Linked DNA regions of Arabidopsis thaliana. The protein of the gene in region 1 binds, or shares a complex with, the protein of each later gene. Each region holds a gene or a part of one and is shown on either strand. Other genes may lie near its edges.

Region 1 (6,547 bases):
AGGATCCTTTGGATTTATCGGAGGCATAGGGATTTTGGCAGAGGCTTTGGCGCGAAAGGCGTAACGAAAAGTCTTCAAGTTTCTTCTCCCGGATGAATTCGAAGATAGAGGAGGATGAGGAGAAAAAGAAGAAGAGCGTGGAAGCAGAGAATTCATGGATGCTTGTAAACAAGACGCCATGGTCGAGGAGCTCTTGGACACGGAAGCTCGCGAAAATGGACTCGTTGGACAAAGGAAACCAGAGGATTTATCGATGCTTTCGGAGGGGAGAGAATAATTACTGGGTCGGGTTTCGGGTTGACCCGCTATTTGATATTCCGGCTATAGCCCAAATCACATTTTAGGGAACAGGCCCAGTCGCAATAGACTTTACTTTCGGACCAAATTGCAATTATTCTGGGCCATTTCGTTTACACAAAACTCTGGTGCTATGGCCTATGAGCTGTAGTGTGTTGTTACTGTTGGTAGGATACAGGCAGGGGTTGTACCGTTTTAGAGTGATCTTATCCAAAAACAAAAGCAAGTTTAGTTTTAACACTGCAAGTTTAGTTTAAGATAATCATAAAAGACACCAGTAGTTGTAATGTAAATGTATATGTATGGAAAAACCTCACCACACCCAACACAATGTCTGATGAACTTTATTATGCAGCCGAGACAGAGTTTCCGGCTTTTTAATGACACAATAACAGACCAATTCCAGGTTCACAACTAAAACTAGAAAGACATATTGGTCGTCCCATACAAGAAGACCAGTATAATAATCCCAAATCGGAATCAAATTCTATTAGCAGTGGAGCCTGAGAAGCTTGAGACGATTCGGGTACAGCCAGTGGCCAGTTTTCATTTTCAACCAGATATCACCTGCAAAACATAATATGTAATACCGTTAAGAGAAGAAGAAATGATAACACATGACAGAGGTAGATTATGTTGCTGAAACACTTGGAGAGGCGATTTTTAGTGCACACAGAGGTTGGTGAGACCTAGTCGTTCTAAGACTCTTCAAATTTTATAGTCTGTCTCATGATTTCGTTAAGTTGGTGTTGATTGAAGAACAACCAAAGTGAGCAGGTATTTAAACAAACACCATGGATTGTGAATTAAAGAAGGTTCAGCTTTTAGACTTACAGGTGAAACTGGAGAATTCGATCTTGATCTTGATCTTGATTTTGATCTTGATTGGGACCTGCAGCAAGACCAAAAACCCCATGTAAGTGTGGCATAACAAAGAAATTTACTGACCATCTCCCATCTAGTCCCGGGAGCTTAAATGCTGTCCTAGAAAAGAACTCAACACAGAATCCACTATTGTCAAAAAGATAAATATATTGAGGAATCAGAGTAATCATAGTCCAAAACTTTGCGATCAGATCCTACAGCTGATACGCGCGGAGTACCAGACCAGACCAGACCGTAAAAACAGAAGTTCAAGTTCATGCTAATCCAGCTTTGTAAATCCAGTCCAAGAATCCATCTAGATGACCCATCTAGATCCAATCCCCAGCTCGTAGCAGTGAGCCAGATCTAGAAAACAAACAACGCAATACAATTGTAATCACGGTAAATGATCGAGGACATGCCTCAGAAATCCATCTTCCCCCTTCCGATAGAAATAAATTTTCAAAAAGTGAAACATCTAGCTAAGTGTTCTTTAAATTATAAGTCGGATAATGAAGATTGATACGTAATAAATTCACCGTCGCTGGAAAAAAGTTAAGAAGTAAAGCTTTATCAGAAGGAAACATCCAGAAGAGAACGACACAAAGAGAAAGGAAAAGGACTAAATATGATGGGAGCATCTCTGTCAAGAACTCAAAACATAAAAAACAAACACATTCACGTGTAAGAAATGAAAAGGAACTCTGGTAATCCCAAACAAGGAGGTAACCTTTACCCATATTGGAGTTTGCATGACATAGAAAACATCAACAAAGGAAGAAAATCAAGTGACAATAGACTAGTCCACTATGAGGGAAAAAAGACTCAAACAAATTCAACTGTGTACGGAAGCAACAAAAGGTGCTTAGTTGTAAGTAATAAAGCTAGTAAGGAGTTCACTATGCAAGAACAAGTGATCCATGAAGGGGTAACTACATATATAATAATGATACAAATCTAACACTCATACCTTGAGACAGAGCTGTATAGCGAGCGAGAACGACTAAGGGGCCGTGAACGCGGGGAAATGGATCTAGCAGGTGACACACTGCATTGCATTTAGAAGTCAGTTAATTTCATAAATAAGTTACAATAAAAATCCCTTATATGTCTTAGGTTTATGAAAAAAAAAAAAAAAAAAAGACCTCCTGCTCTTGCTACTATAGCTACAGCTTGGACCACGGCTCCGACTCCTGCTTCTATAGCTTTTAGAATCATCTGGGCTTCGACTCACACTCCTCGACTCATATTCCCTCACCTGAACAGTAAATTCAGAGATGACTCCATATCCACTTATGCTTAACAAAATCAAAGAAAGCAATACAACATACCCGTATATAAGCACTAGAGAAAGCATTTCGAAATTCAGTGGCATCAAGTTTCCTTATCTGTCACATCAAAAATTTTAAGGGAACATCAAAGATCCAACACTGGCCTCCAGGAAGATAAATTCAGCTCGGTATACTATGAAACAAAAGCAGTCTAAGGCATAAGTCCAGGAACATTTGCGTTGCAAAGATATAAAACTTACTGCGTACTTCATATCATCATAGTTGCTATAATCCACAACCCCAGACATGCCTACAAAGAAATACTGAATGTGAGTTTAGCAGTTCAGATGCTTAACACCTATTCTCCTTCACAAAGACTAATTTACTAACACATCAATCAAAAGCTTATCCAAACTATCGAATGTCAACTCACCTTTACGGTCAGGGAAAACTTCAGAGAAGCAGACATCTCCAGCTTTGCGCATGTGATCCTAATCACCCGTAAATAGCAAATAACATCATTTCAGAAAAGAGATAAATCCAAAACATGATATAGAGAACCAACATTCAGAGAAAAAGACTATATAGTGTCCCTTACCTTAAGGTCCTGCCACGAAGCAGAAGGCGGTAATCCGGTCACAAGCACTACATGTTTAGGTAGTAAAAATGAGTTTTCAAATATAAAATTTTACACAACACCAAATAACACAATCGAGAAGACTCTACAAACCGCGGTAGTCAGAGCGTCTTGAAGGTGCACGGCTCGCACTGTAGCTGCTGCTGTACCTATCAACTGATGGTGAAAATCTACGACCACCATGTGCAATCTCAACCTAAAAACATCACACAAAGATAACACCTTTACAAGAAATTACAGAAAATTAAGCTAGCTTTCATCATGCGTTTACTAACCCGAAGTCGACACCCATCAAAATCATAACCATCACGTCCATAAATTGCATCGTCTGCATCACGAGGATCTTCAAACTGCCACCAATAACAAACTATCTTAGTCATTAGCCTATACTATTACAAGAAGAAGAAAAAAACAAATTTGTACTTGATCAATATACCTCGACAAAGGCATAACCAGGAGGTCTCGGTGGAATCTTCAAATCAATGTCCACAATTGGTCCATACTGAAACAAATATACATAAGAGTCGATTTAAATTGTCTCAGCAAGACAGAATTGCAAATTTATGAACCCAAACAAGTCATAATGAATTCAATTTTTATCGAGAGAAAAGAGGAATTTTCAAACCTTGTAGAAGAGATCTTCAACCTCACACTTGCGAATATCTCCAGGCAAATTCCCAACGTAGATCGTACGATTCCATCGGCTACTCATCTGATACCTCAGAGCAGAAAATTAGTTCCTGTAAAAATCTAGAAGAGAAGAAATTGATTACTGGAAAAATAATTTCGAGAAAGAAGAAGAAGAAGATGTTCGAGAAAGCGTTAGATTGTTCTGGAAAGGAGACAACCACCGTTCGTTTGGAAACTAGTATCCTTTTATAAAACGGAACTGGATTTTAATCCTGTGCGGCCGCATGTATCAACGATGAATAGCCCAGTTGATCAAGATCGGCCCATATGTTTTAATGGGCCTGTTAATATATTGTTCTAACCGGATCGAATGTGTTTTTTCTTATCATTCAAACCGGAATATTGTATGTTAGTTATTACAATTCGAACCAATTTCGAATCGGATTCGGACCATCGGGTCATTCATTCTCCTAGGTTTCCTAAACACTGTCGTTTTTGGACAAAAGAGACACTAGATCGGAAACACTTGGGGATTTTTTTGAGAGAAACATTCTCTCGGTTCCTCTACTACCACCTCTCAAATCTCAATTCGCCGATTAGTAACTCCGTCCAAGACCATTTTCCGCCGTGACACCGTCCACGGTCTCTCTCAGTCCGTGAGTTCCTGCTCTGTTCCGTTTGGTTTTTCTGTTTTGGAATTTCAGTATTTTTCCTATTGAATTTGTTGCGATATGATGTCCAAATTTTTGGTTTGTTGAGTGATGTTCCGATATTTCCGTTATCAATCATCTTCCACTGTTCGCTTGCAGGGAAGAAGATACCATAGTTAGAAGCTGGTGATCATTTTCAATAAACCTCGAACATGTTTAAGAAGTAAGCATCTTTGTCTCTTTCTAGATTCTTTCTCTACTTTTTTATTTAGATAGAAACTGTTTTTCATACCCGGATTGTAGAATCTAAGAATTAGTGGTTTCAACATCTCGGCATTGTTTATACTAGTTGATAAAGAATGTGATGGTCTCTTTATTTAGTATCCACTTACTCTAATAACTATCGAGAACTCACTCCCTTCTACTTGTTGTCGACCACATTGTTAATTTGATTGCTTAGAGTAGCCTTGGTATGGGCATATTGGTTGTTATATTTTCTTCAAAGTAGAAGGTTTTGAGTTCTCAAAAGCTAACATCTTGCTATTGTAAAGTTTTGGTTTCTATATTGATAGTGTCACTATTTGATTTATCAAATCTGTACAAAGAGTCGTGGGTCATAGAGGAAAGTTTGTGTCTTGATTTGACCAGTCTAAACTCTCTACTATCATGGAGTTTGTGTTTATCCATCTCCTGAAACATGCTTATACATTCATAGTGAATCTTGTATAAAGTTTATTTTTCCCTACTGCTATCAACTTTAGATCTATTTGATATACCATTATGTCTATGAAGGTGTTATTTATGTTCACTACTTTTTATTTAGGTTTTGTTTGGAGGAGATTTCATCACAAAACCAAGTGAAGGCATCTGTTCAACGTAGGATCCGCCAGAGTATCCAAGATGAGGTATGTCTGTTGTTTCATTTGTCTTTTTCCCCTTCTTAAACTTTTATGATTTCGTGAAGTTTGTCAGATATAAATATGTTTATGTTAATGTTGCAGTACCCGGGACTTGAATCAGTGATGGAGGATCTACTTCCCAAAAAGATTCCTCTTATCGTAGTGAAGTGGTCTGTAAATTAACAAACTCATATTCATTGTTTTGTTTTCTGAATTTTCTTTTACCCACTATCTATGTCTTACAGTATTCCTGACTATATTTCTCGTGCAGCCCAAACCATCTGACCCTAGTTGTTGTCAACAATGTCCCCCTCTTCTTCTGTATCCGTGACGGGCCATACATGCCAACACTGCGGCTTCTTCATCAATGTAATATCACTTTTCCTTCACACCATCCATGCTATATGGTCTTGTTATCAAAACATAACATATCTGGGTGTTTTATTCATACAATCACTCTTCTTCACACCTGTTAGTCTTACTGTGGTCTGCAGTAGAACTTACCTGGTTCAAATACTGCATATACCTGAATAGTATGTCCGACACTTTTCTCTGAGTTATTTAGAACTTCCTGGGGTTTGGTTCCTGTAAGTTGTTGTTCCTTTGGCTTTTTTCATGCGAGTGAACTATATAAAAGGTCCACGTATGATTGGTTAGCCAGGATTTTTGTTTAGTATATTTTGTTTTATGTTTTCCGGGTTAGCTGACCCTTATCATAGTGAGAAGGTTTTGGCATTGGCTGTTACCAGAAGAGTATAAAATATTCTTGAAAACACCACGTTCAGCTAACTTTTACATACTTGAATGATACATAGAAAGAAACTTGGAGTTTTTTCAATTAGCCACGAATGTCAAAAATTTGGCAGCTGAATGTTTGGAGTTTTGCAGACCCAAATATAATGAAGAGGTTTCAAGTTGATAGAGGTGCCATAAAGTTTGTTCTGTCTGGTGCAAACATAATGTGTCCTGGTCTTACATCCCCGGGAGGCGTTCTGGATCAAGAAGTCGAGGCTGAAAGGCCAGTGGTATGAATAAAAACAGTATTTCCCTGGGTTGCATTTTTGTTTGTATATGCTGATCTTAAACCATGAATCTGTATTTGTTTAGGCCATATATGCAGAAGGAAAGCAACATGCCTTAGCAATAGGCTTCACCAAAATGTCAGCAAAGGACATGTAAGTCAATTTTTCGCTGGAATTTATTTGAAAATACAAACATGTGCTTTGATATACTTTCGTATCTTAGCCAAAATACAGTCTCTTGGCTCCAGGCCTCTCCAAGTAACCCTATCTTTGTCAC
Region 2 (6,695 bases), on another chromosome or scaffold:
CAAAACTTGCTGAATGAATTTAAGTCTTTGGTTTTATGTCCTTTTTGGTAGCTACAATATCTCGCCTGTTTTCAATTTAAGTAACAGTTACTTTTTTTTTCTTGCAGGTGAGACACTTTACACCTTTACGATTTTGACAACCGCTTCCTCTTCAGCCCTCCAATGGCTCCATGGTTAGTAATATATACACTGGCTACATCGTGTGACATTTTTTCTTATTCAGTAATGATTCTCAGTAGCACAATGAAACACATAGCATATGAAGTTGGGAATTGTATATTTGTCTATGGACGCTTGAAGCTTGTGTTCCTCGTTGTTTAAAATGAGGTTTAATCAAACCCGCACATTAATAAAGATACAAACTTATCATAGTAGTATGAGTTGTTTCTGTTTTCGTATTACATCTGATTTGATAAGCTCTTTTAGAAAAGATACATATGTAATTGCATGAGAATCTTTAACTTCTTTAAGTACTGGAATAGAACAAGCAGTGGCTGTTTAAGGTAGTTTAATATTGAGAGTAGCGTTTCTTATACAATGCTTACATTATTAGCGGCTGTTGATGATTGTTTTGTTGATTTGCAGCAGCCCTGAATTTTTGTGTTAACACGTGAGTTTGTTTATTTTTCATGTAAGACAGAATGCCTGTAATTCTTGGTGATAAGGATTCAATCGACACATGGTTAGATGATCCCTCGACAACGAAACTGCAGCCATTACTTTCACCATATGAAAAATCGGATTTGGTATGCAATTGCTTACTTCCTCGCATATAAGAGTGGTCTTTCCTTTTTCATTTACTTGAGATTGAAGTTTGAACTTTCAGGTATGGTATCCAGTAACCTCTGCAATTGGTAAACCAACGTTTGATGGACCAGAGTGTATTCAACAGGTACGGTTAACATCTTTCCCTTTCTTAGTAGTGTACAACTCAAATCTCAAGTTTGATCTCAAGTCGCATTAAACATATTGTCAGGATCACTATGTATTTGTACAGTCTGTATGCTTATTGTCATTTCAAATAAGGATTATGCCACCTGCAGATACCGCTAAAGACTTCACAAAATAGCTTGATCTCGAAGTTTTTCTCAACAAAGCAGCCCAAAACAGATGAAGGAGACAAAGAAACCAAATCAACAGATGCAAATATCATAGTTGATTTGAAAAAGGAACCTACGGCTGAAAAGGACACGTTTTCTGACAGCATTAAGAAAATTGAAGAACTAGACGGGGAGAAAGATATGTCGAATGTAGCCAAAAATCTGGAGTTTCAAGAGATTGTGAAAGCAGAACCATTTGTTGAAGATAACTCAGCAGTTGCGTCACTTCCTGAACCTGTAAAGAATGATGTTCAGGAGGGTACAAAGGAAGAAGGCAAATCCCTAAAGACTGGTCTTACTAAAGAAACAGGTGAGAGCAGTGCCAGTATACCGGCTGAGTCCTACATCCTTGATCTCCAAAGAATCTCAAAAGAAGAACCCGAGACTCAAAGCCATCATTTCTTTACTGCAGATGAGAGATTGAATCAGCTGCATGAGGCTGTCGAAGATATTCCAGGAAATGAAAACCAGAAGACAGTTTTAACTAGCCCGACGACGAAGGAAGGTGGCTTAGTGTTTAGCGAAAAGAGTGGGACAAAGCGAGACTATGAGGTATTCTCAGCTCAAGAAAAGCCACAGAAACACTATGAGAGGTTGCAAAATGTTAAAAGCAGTGGGAAACAAGGAAAGATGCATGGAATGGGGAAATCTAACATCAAGAAATCTAAGGAGACGCAGTCTACATTACATTTCTTTTTCGATGAGAAATAGTTTTGAGTCTACATAACATCTATGAGGACCATGTTGGCCTACTTTTGTTGTAGATAATGTTAGATAAGACCATCGTTTTGGGAATGTTGCTTGTATTGTATGTGTAGTGTTTGATCTTTGATCTAAGGTAATATTATTATGAATGAATTGGGTTTTTAATGTCCTTGGTGGATGGTAAAAATTTGTGAACCAGGTTTCGATAATCAAACCCGGTCGCTAAACGATTTTATCGGTTTAAATTAGATCCGGTTTCTAAATTAAACATCGAATTCTAATTTCCCCTGACCAGAACCACCAACGCTTTGAAATCGAAACAGACACAGATATCATCAGAACGAAGAACTTCAGCCAAAATCTGATTTTTCTCTGTTTCACGACAAGAAATCGAATTAACGAAATCTAATGAAACCTTCAAAATCGCATCACAAGGAGAAAACCGCTCGTCGGAGGTCAGAAATCTTCATTTTCCTCTCTCCCCTTTTCTTCAAAAGCTAGGGTTTTTACACAAAAACATCAAAACTCGTCACTTTTCCTTCACAGAGAGGAGAAACTAGAGGAATCCGATAATCCAAAATACAGAGATCGTGCTAAAGAAAGAAGAGAGAATCAAAATCCTGATTATGATCCATCAGAGCTTAGTTCTTTCCATGCCGTTGCTCCTCCCGGAGCTGTCGATATCCGGTAGCACTTGTCTTTCCTCGATTACTTCATTATCTTTCTAAATTCTAATTGGGTTTCTCTAAATTTCTGTTGCTGTGTACTTTTTTTTGTTGTAGTGCTGCTGATGCACTTAAGATATCTATTGAGAACAGCAAATATCTTGGAGGTTTGTGTTAGGTTTACAAATTTATTCAAAATGTTTTTTTTTTGAGGTGCTTATGTTGTTTTTATGATATGGTTTAGGTGATGTTGAACATACCCATTTAGTTAAGGGTTTGGATTATGCTTTGTTGAATAAAGTACGAAGCGAAATCGTTAAGAAACCTGATGGTGAAGATGGTGATGGTGGGAAGACTAGGTAGATTTGGTTATACTTGGTTTATTGACTCATTTGGCTTCTTTGATTCAAGTGCTAATTTTACTATATTAACAGTGCGCCTAAGGAAGATCAGCGAGTTACTTTCCGTACCATAGCTGCAAAGGTATGCAATTTTGTTCTGAACTTTGCAGATGAGGAGCAAGTTTTGGGATGTAGTTAACGCGCTTGATGTTTTTTGTTTCTCTTGTCTTTGATCTGTTTCAGTCAGTTTACCAGTGGATTGTTAAGCCTCAGACTATCATCAAGTCTAATGAGATGTTTCTTCCCGGTAGAATGACATTTGTCTATGATATGGTATTGCTTGTTAACTCTTTTTCAGGAAGATTCAATCTTATTACATGTTCTTATGTCGTTGTTTGTCTTAGGAAGTAGTCATACATGTGTATTCTGCTTCAACGATTCTTCTTCGAGTATTAGTTAATATTTAGTTAAATCTTCGCTTCTAGTTTAAATACATGTCTCAGGAAAATTTTAAGAAGGTAGCTTAAGCTGTTTTGCATTACCTTGTTAGCGATTTATTCACGATTTAATCTATTTGTTAGAAACCTTATACGCAGAATTGGTTGTAAAGGTTTTTTAGTTCGATTAACGTGTCTGCTCTTCTTGAAGAAGCATATTCTTTTTCTCTTGCAGATAGAGACACCATACGACAAGAAAAGTCAGTTGAATATACTATTGATATTTGGTAGTGTTACGTATGAAGTTTCCTTTGAGATACTTAGTCTCAGCTAAGCTGCTAGGCTAAGCTTATAGTATGGGTTTAGTCTGCCCTTTGAAAGCCTCCCTGTTGATGTATATTAATTTTATTCCCTTTTGTTTTTAATTCTATTTGTTGCTTTTCAGGAAGGTGGCTATACCCATGACATACCGACCACGTTATATAGGAGTAAAGCTGACTGCCCGGTGCCCGAGGTATGTATACTTAGAGTCCTTGTTGTAATAGTCTTCTTGATCCTGGAAAAATCTTTAGACTGTAAGCAGTGATGTGACATGATCGTTTTGATTCTAATGAAAATAAGCCCACTCTGCCTGTCTCTGCAACCTATTTTCTTTTACAGTGTTGATGTATTCAATACAGCTAATATCGATTATATAAGTCATTAGTTTTGGTAGAAGCATAGATTTTCTTTAAGTAATTATAAAAATCTTTTTAAACTAAATTCAACTTTCTTTCTACTAATCTGGAACCAAAATTAACGTTGCTTAATATGTTTGTTTACTGAACATAATAAAAATTTATAATTGAAATCACTGCTGCAATTTTTGCGAGAATTGTTTCATTTAACAGGCACTGTTTCTCTGTCCTATCTCCCCAACAGGAATTTGTCACAGTCAATGTTGATGGTTCTGTGCTAGATCGAATTGCTAAAATCATGTCATATCTTCGCCTTGGGTCGTCGGGGAAAGTTCTCAAGAAGAAAAAGAAAGAAAAAGATGGGAAAGGTATTTTGCATCTACTGGTGCATTTTTTTGTAAAGTTTAAGTATTAGCAGACCTGATTCACTTACACTGGTTAAATAAGTTCTCTGCTTTTCCCGAAATTTGTTAATTATCTGGTCTTACAGTTTGGAGCCAAGAATGTAAAGAGTGTACCTAGTCTTTGACCACAGTACTAGTAGTATCTACTGATGTCTGGTTGTGTTCTCGCTTATCAATTGTGAAGAAATTTAGTTGTATCATAAATATGTTGCTGCCGTCCCTTGATGGTTCTGTAAACTCTGTTGTTAGTAATTTTTATTATGCTAATGTGGTGCCAGTACATGTTGTAGTTCTTGTTTCACATCAGCATACAATTGGATACAAGTTGGCTGGTTTCTGATTCTTTAGCAAGATAATTTGCTAATTTCTATTCTATCATACGTTCATGCATTTTTTATATTATTTTGCCTTATTAATCACATCCACTGCAACTTTTCAAATGCAGGAAAGATGTCAACTATTGCTAATGATTATGATGAAGACGACAATAAATCTAAGATTGAGAATGGATCTTCTGTGAACATAAGTGACAGGGAAGTTTTACCTCCTCCTCCGCCATTACCACCTGGGATAAACCATCTGGATTTGAGTACGAAACAAGAAGAACCCCCTGTTGCCAGGACAGACGATGATGACATATTTGTTGGTGAAGGCGTCGATTACACGGTTCCTGGTAAAGATGTGACACAGAGTCCTATTTCTGAGGACATGGAAGAATCTCCCAGGGATAAGGAGAAAGTATCTTATTTCGATGAGCCTGCTTATGGTCCAGTGCAGGAGAAGGTACCTTATTTCGCTGAGCCTGCTTATGGTCCAGTGCAGCCATCTGCTGGTCAGGAATGGCAAGATATGGTCAGTTCACCCTAGCTAATCCTTGGTTGTATTTATTCTCAAATCTTGATCCTCGTCTGCAAATTTTGCGTCTTGGTATGTAGTTATTAGATGTCATTTATTCCCATATTTAGGTTTTTTCTGGTGGTTGTGTGTTTTTCCAGAGTGCATATGGTGCAATGCAAACTCAAGGACTGGCTCCTGGGTACCCCGGAGAGTGGCAGGAATACCAATATGCAGAGCAAACTGGGTATCAGGAGCAGTACCTTCAACCTGGAATGGAGGGTTACGAGGTCCAACCAGAAACCGATGTTTTACTAGATCCTCAACTCATGTCGCAGGAAGAGAAAGATAGGGGTTTGGGATCGGTTTTCAAGCGTGATGACCAAAGGCTTCAACAGTTGAGGGAGAGTGACGCAAGGGAGAAAGATCCAACTTTTGTATCCGAGAGTTATTCAGAGTGTTATCCAGGTTACCAAGAGTACAACCATGAGATTGTCGGTAGTGATGAAGAACCTGATTTGTCTAAAATGGACATGGGTGGAAAGGTATGCCCTGACTTAATTACATGTTCCTTGTTATTTATTGTGGAAGAGCAAAATTACAGTATCTGGTTGTTGAATGTACATGGAACAGGCAAAGGGTGGTTTACATCGATGGGACTTTGAGACAGAAGAGGAATGGGAAAAATATAATGAGCAGAAGGAAGCGATGCCAAAAGCGGCGTTCCAATTCGGGGTAAAGATGCAAGATGGTCGAAAGACAAGGAAGCAGAACCGTGACCGTGACCAGAAGCTCAATAATGAACTTCACCAGATCAATAAGATACTTACGAGAAAGAAGATGGAGAAGGAGGGTGGGGATGTTGCTTCTTTGGATGCCGCCGAGGCACAAACTCCTAAGAGATCCAAGCATTGATTTGTCTCTTGTCTACTCCAGTCATTCTCTCGTAATCTATTTTGTATCTTCAAGTCTGTTTAGGTTTTTGGTACCTTGAGTTCAAATTCTTAATTTAGAAAAGATTTTACGTCCAAATTTTGAAATGATAGCATTCTTATTTCCTAATTACCCATTAAACACGAAGCAGTTTTGGGAGTTGGGACAGCCTTAGGTTTTAGGTTTAGCATCACCAAAAATGAGACGCTTCAGTAACCAACCCAACAAGACAAGCAAAAAACTAGAAAAATCATAAAACCCTAATCAGAAAAATGGCCACAGATTCCATGAATGCAGCCACCGTCAATGACTCCGACCGTTTCATCTTCTCCACACCTCTCTCCGCTCGTGGTTCAACCAAACGTGACGCCATCTCCGTCGAGGATCTTGGCCAATACACTCTTCTCAAACTCCATTCAAATCCGGTTTCACAAACTACATAGATCTTGGCCAATACAACGACGAAGATGACGATGTAAGAATCCTCTGTTTCACACCAATCTCCATAGAAAAGGGACAGTCCTCTGTTTGACCAATACAACGACGAAGACGCTCTTTCGACTGCGAGATATGTGTTGAACGAAAACCAAGGATTGAAT
Region 3 (4,829 bases), on another chromosome or scaffold:
TGATGTTTTGAACAGAGTAGATCATCATATATATATTCTACAGAAAACATAAAAAAAAAATAAAATCAATACATTTTGAAAGATTATACATAATTCTTAGTTTTTTTAAAACAAACATTTGAGAGGGATGGAAATGCAAAAAAAAAAACCTTTATAAATCAATTCATGTCAAAGGTATGTTCACTAAAAATGTATCTTTTCCAACAAACACATATGTTAAACCATACGTTTTTCCAACCTAATGTAAGTAACACATTTACCATTTTCTATTAATTTATTAATCAAGATCAAACATCAAAAAAATGTGTTATTACTTTTTAGTTTTTTTTTTTGCATTTCAGTTTTGTGTGAAAAAAAAAACAAGAATTGGTATCTCAAGAACGTAAAAGAAAATTATCATTACTATTTTATTATCTTTGGCTTCTACATCCAATTATTTACTTGCTTAATTTTATTCATCTGAATTATTTTTTGGTGTAAGAAGAATGTTTCGCCGCAAAAAAAAAAATCTGATCCGACATCATTAGAACAAAAAAAAACATTGGCGTTGAATATAAGCTGCTTCTCTTGTTCTTCTTCTACCTTACGCTTCTGACTGTTATTAGAGACTATGTAAATGGCTGATTCCGAGACTCCGTATCACCCCGACCCTGAGGATCTCCGGCGTATACCAGTCGATCTCTTCGCTTCCAAAAAGCTTCCCGGACTTTCCTCCGGCGATCTCGGATTTGCCGATTCTTCCGAACATCTCGTCTTCATCCTCCGCAAATCTTCTTCCTCCTTGAAATCTCTCCTTGATTCCTCCGGAGTTCCTCTCTTCTCCATCTCTCGTCTCCACGTAAGCCTCCTTCGTCCCAAATTTCATCGATTTTGGCAATTCTCATCGCTACTTGTTTAAATCTCATTATTCATTACATAGTCCACACGATGTTTATACTTTTTGATTGTTTGGGTTTTGTTAGTTAGTCACTGGCTTGAGATATATCATAAGAACACTTACAGATCTTTGTATATGTATTGGAATGTAGAATGGAGTGTGGGAATTACATAAAGGAGATGTGGAAAAGCGTAAGGATTTGGTTCTAACGGTGAAGCGGACATCGAAAAGATTCAGTAAGACAGAGTCAGAGGTCTCTTTTGCTGGAGAATCGTCCGAAAATCTTGTTATCAAAGGTGTTCCCTTTCAGAAATCTTGTACCATTTATAGTCAAGATTCCATTGTTGCACAGGTAAAGATACTCATCTTCTCCCAATTACAGCACTATTGAACATTCTATAGCTAGACAAGAGTCAATACCGTGTTATACTGGTTTTGATTACCGGGTTCAAAACTCATCGTTTGGATCATGCTTGCTGATGGATAAACAACCAACCCTTTGTTTCGTTCATTTGAAGTCGGATTCATTAGGCTTGTAAAATTTGCTTGGATTCTAATACACTTGTTTTAAAGATTTTTGTTGTTGTTGTTGTGTTTGAACATTTGCCTCAATCTGATTTATGTTCCTTTAAATGTGGTGGCAGACGAGTTTGATGTACAAGCTGAGACAGATTTACGTAGGGAGAAGCAAGTTCCGGTTAACGATATTTCCTGGATCCATCGATCATTCACTAGTAGTCGCAATGGTTGCCATATTTCTTCAAGGATGAAAGTGAAACATCCTCGATTTATTTTCTCAGTGTAAAGAAAAATGTAACACAGAAACAAAAAGGCATTTTAGTACATTGCATTTTTAATGCCTTTTGATTCAATCGGCTCACACGTGAATTGTATTATCTATCACATGAATATTGAGATATACTAAGGTCTAAGGTTAAATCTTTTTTCAGAACAAATTTGCAAGCTCAGCTGGAAAAATACAACATCATTTACATTATTTTAAAAAGTTGTTGAACATTTGAATCAAAATGATTCACAAGACTTTTGTTGGAATTTTGCAATAAAAAAATTGATCTCGAGTCTATAAAAGTCCAATCCCGACCACTCATTCTATTTCCGGTTCAATTCTGTCTAGCCGGTCAAATTCAAATCCGGTCCATCCGGTCGGCTCATTCACGTTGGTACAAAAGTTTAGGAAATCGAACCAACAAACTAAACGGCGTCGTTAAATAGTCTGATGTTGAAACGCAGCTATTTCTTTTACTCTTCTTCGTCTCTCTCATTCCCAGTTCCCACCATTAGGGCTCTCTCTAAATTCCTCAGTCTCGAGAATCTTCATCGTCTTCACGAGCTCACTCGAAGATGTTAACGGCAGATATACCACCGAATCAATCAATCTACATCCAAAACCTCAACGAAAGGATCAAGAAAGAGGGTAAACTTCTCTTCTCGTTTAATCTAATTCGTCAAGTAAATTTCCAAATTCTTAGATGTTGAAACCTCCATGAACTTCCTGTACCAATGATTCAAGCTTCTACAGTACTGAATGTTAGGGTTTTTGCTTGTTTTTAGCTTATATAGAGTGTTCGTTTCTAAATACTAGGGTTTCAGAATCGTATTGAATCTAGTGACAAGGTTATAAGGAAGATATATATGTTGGTGTTGTCTGTTTTCGCCATTGTATGGATAATTGTTATAGACGTGTGAAGTAGTGTTGGCTCAGGGCAGTATCATCAATCTCATGCTTTATCTGACTTGGTTTTTGTTTTCTCAGAATTGAAGAGATCTCTTTACTGTTTGTTCTCTCAGTTTGGGAGGATACTTGATGTGGTTGCTTTGAAGACTCCGAAGCTCCGAGGACAAGCTTGGGTTACTTTTAGTGAAGTCACTGCTGCTGGTCATGCTGTTCGTCAGATGCAAAATTTTCCCTTCTATGATAAACCAATGGTCAGTATTTCATCACTCTTGAGTATATCAATCTCTTTATAGTTTCCATGAAAGTGATCTTCTATGTGTTGTATAGATCGATAGAAGCAAATCGTTAGTGTGTTTGTGTAATTGATTACTAACAATTTGTTTTGGAACCTTTGACCTTTTTCTATTCCCAATCCATTGGTAGTCATATATGTGTTTAGATTTTGTTGCTGTTGATGAGTAACCAATGATTAGTATCCACTACCTTTTCTGTCTTGAGTATATCAATCTCTGTATAATTTCCCTGGAAGTGATATTCTGTGTGTTGTATAGATTGATTGATGCGGTAAAAGCAGAAATCCTTAGTGTGTTTATGTGATTACCAATGATTACCTTTGACTGTGTTATTCTCAATCAACATTTAGTTATATGTGTGTTTGGATTTTGTTGCTGACCTTCTCAAATCACATTCTCTTATGATTTCTGTTGTCAAAATGTTTGTTCTGTTTGATATATACATTGTTTTTATAACTAAATCTTACCTCTTTCGATTGTTTGTAAACTATTCAACTACTTCCAATCAGGTTGAGATTTATTATTATTCATACTTTTTATGTGATCTTTTAAGTGCAGCGCTTACAATATGCAAAAGCAAAGTCAGATTGTCTAGCTAAAGCTGAGGGAACTTTCGTTCCAAAAGATAAGAAGAGGAAGCAAGAAGAAAAAGGTTTTAAACTTTATTTCTTCTTTTTGCATTTTGTCGTAGATGTTGGTTCAATGATACAACTATAAAATTTTCACTTGCATCTAAAGTTAACAAACTTCCTTTCTTACTTTCAGTTGAAAGAAAGCGTGAAGATTCCCAACGACCAAACACGGCTAATGGCCCAAGTGCTAATGGTCCAAGTGCCAATAACGGAGTCCCTGCGGTAAGTGTTCTTGTTCTCACCTTCATCTTCAGAAAAATCTTCCATTGTTGGATCATGTGAACCAAACTATTGTTATCTGGAGATGATGCTGATGTTTTGCGTTTTATCTCTGCTCTTCTTAATGCAGCCTTCGTTCCAGCCGAGCGGGCAAGAAACAATGCCACCAAACAACATACTCTTCATTCAGAATCTCCCACACGAGACAACAAGCATGATGCTACAGCTTCTCTTCGAACAGTACCCTGGATTCAAAGAGATAAGAATGATCGACGCAAAACCAGGAATCGCGTTTGTAGAGTACGAAGATGATGTTCAAGCTTCCATAGCTATGCAACCTCTTCAAGGTTTCAAAATCACTCCCCAGAATCCAATGGTCATCTCTTTCGCCAAGAAATGATAAGAGTCTTGTTTTTGTTTGTTTGTTGTCCTTTAAGACGATAGTACTGGACCAACCAAACCTGGTGTGTATAACCAACCAACGGTTCTATTGGTTAACGGATTAATCCGGTTTTGGTTTAATCATTGAAAGAGACCCTTGAAACGCGGTTTCACACTTGACGATTTATCACAAATTAGGAGACGACTCATCAAAAAAGAATATCTTACTGGTCAACCATTTTATAGAAATATTAAAATCAAAAATGATATTTAGGCCAAAGTAGAAAAAGACAAGAAGAGAGAGAAACAAAAAAAACCTTGCTCAATACGCCACCGTCGTCGTCTTTAACCCAATCTAAAAGCCTCTGTTCTTTTTTAGTTTTATCCTCTTTTTCATTTCAAGATCAATTTCATAAAAAAGTTTCCTTTTTTAGCGAATCCTCTGTTTTAGAAATCTTAAAGTTGTCTCCTTTATTAAAGACCATCATGTCTTCCACTTCTTTCACCGACCTTCTTGGTTCTTCCGGCGTTGACTGTTACGAAGATGATGAAGACTTGAGAGTTTCTGGGTCGAGTTTTGGTGGGTACTATCCAGAGAGAACCGGGTCTGGTTTACCTAAGTTCAAGACGGCTCAACCACCACCTCTTCCGATTTCACAATCTTCTCATAACTTCACTTTCTCCGATTACCTTGATTCTCCTCTGCTTCTCAGCTCCTCACACGTAATAAA

The links. The genes of interacting proteins can lie anywhere in the genome.
Region 2: SR30 (region 1) and SMU2 share a complex: the UniProt entries of both Arabidopsis thaliana proteins name them as parts of the spliceosome.
Region 3: SR30 (region 1) and U2B'' share a complex: the UniProt entries of both Arabidopsis thaliana proteins name them as parts of the spliceosome.

The regions. Positions count from the first base shown.
Region 1 is NC_003070.9:2,942,038-2,948,584, forward strand, and holds SR30 (SERINE-ARGININE PROTEIN 30), read right to left. Parts: upstream 3,940-6,547; 5' UTR 3,782-3,939; coding exon 3,695-3,781; intron 3,572-3,694; coding exon 3,506-3,571; intron 3,420-3,505; coding exon 3,345-3,419; intron 3,266-3,344; coding exon 3,163-3,265; intron 3,078-3,162; coding exon 3,031-3,077; intron 2,924-3,030; coding exon 2,866-2,923; intron 2,743-2,865; coding exon 2,693-2,742; intron 2,550-2,692; coding exon 2,493-2,549; intron 2,420-2,492; coding exon 2,307-2,419; intron 2,210-2,306; coding exon 2,132-2,209; coding exon of another isoform or gene 2,119-2,131; exon of another isoform or gene 1,528-2,118; coding exon of another isoform or gene 1,491-1,527; exon of another isoform or gene 1,190-1,490; coding exon 1,132-1,189; intron 865-1,131; coding exon 850-864; 3' UTR 501-849; downstream 1-500. Other genes in the region: AT1G09130 (ATP-dependent caseinolytic (Clp) protease/crotonase family protein), read right to left, coding at 1-180; AT1G09150 (pseudouridine synthase and archaeosine transglycosylase (PUA) domain-containing protein), read left to right, coding at 4,562-4,572, 5,173-5,254, 5,351-5,418, 5,520-5,617, 6,137-6,273, 6,356-6,423. UniProt on the Arabidopsis thaliana protein: Regulatory splicing factor that modulates alternative splicing and gene expression in specific cell types. Autoregulates its own expression. Probably involved in intron recognition and spliceosome assembly.
Region 2 is NC_003071.7:11,254,432-11,261,126, reverse strand, and holds SMU2 (RED family protein), read left to right. Parts: upstream 1-2,056; 5' UTR 2,057-2,213; coding exon 2,214-2,260; intron 2,261-2,351; coding exon 2,352-2,492; intron 2,493-2,587; coding exon 2,588-2,637; intron 2,638-2,714; coding exon 2,715-2,829; intron 2,830-2,904; coding exon 2,905-2,953; intron 2,954-3,054; coding exon 3,055-3,144; intron 3,145-3,693; coding exon 3,694-3,762; intron 3,763-4,169; coding exon 4,170-4,293; intron 4,294-4,774; coding exon 4,775-5,181; intron 5,182-5,324; coding exon 5,325-5,708; intron 5,709-5,796; coding exon 5,797-6,078; 3' UTR 6,079-6,195; downstream 6,196-6,695. Other genes in the region: AT2G26470 (embryonic stem cell-specific 5-hydroxymethylcytosine-binding protein), read left to right, coding at 108-173, 637-746, 827-892, 1,044-1,811. UniProt on the Arabidopsis thaliana protein: Auxiliary spliceosomal protein involved in splicing of specific pre-mRNAs that affect multiple aspects of development.
Region 3 is NC_003071.7:12,904,845-12,909,673, reverse strand, and holds U2B'' (U2 small nuclear ribonucleoprotein B), read left to right. Parts: upstream 1-2,008; 5' UTR 2,009-2,239; coding exon 2,240-2,312; intron 2,313-2,651; coding exon 2,652-2,824; intron 2,825-3,424; coding exon 3,425-3,518; intron 3,519-3,631; coding exon 3,632-3,720; coding exon of another isoform or gene 3,721-3,780; exon of another isoform or gene 3,781-3,847; coding exon 3,848-4,117; 3' UTR 4,118-4,329; downstream 4,330-4,829. Other genes in the region: AT2G30270 (LURP-one-like protein (DUF567)), read left to right, coding at 617-838, 1,029-1,229, 1,522-1,647; WRKY25 (WRKY DNA-binding protein 25), read left to right, coding at 4,585-4,821. UniProt on the Arabidopsis thaliana protein: Involved in nuclear pre-mRNA splicing.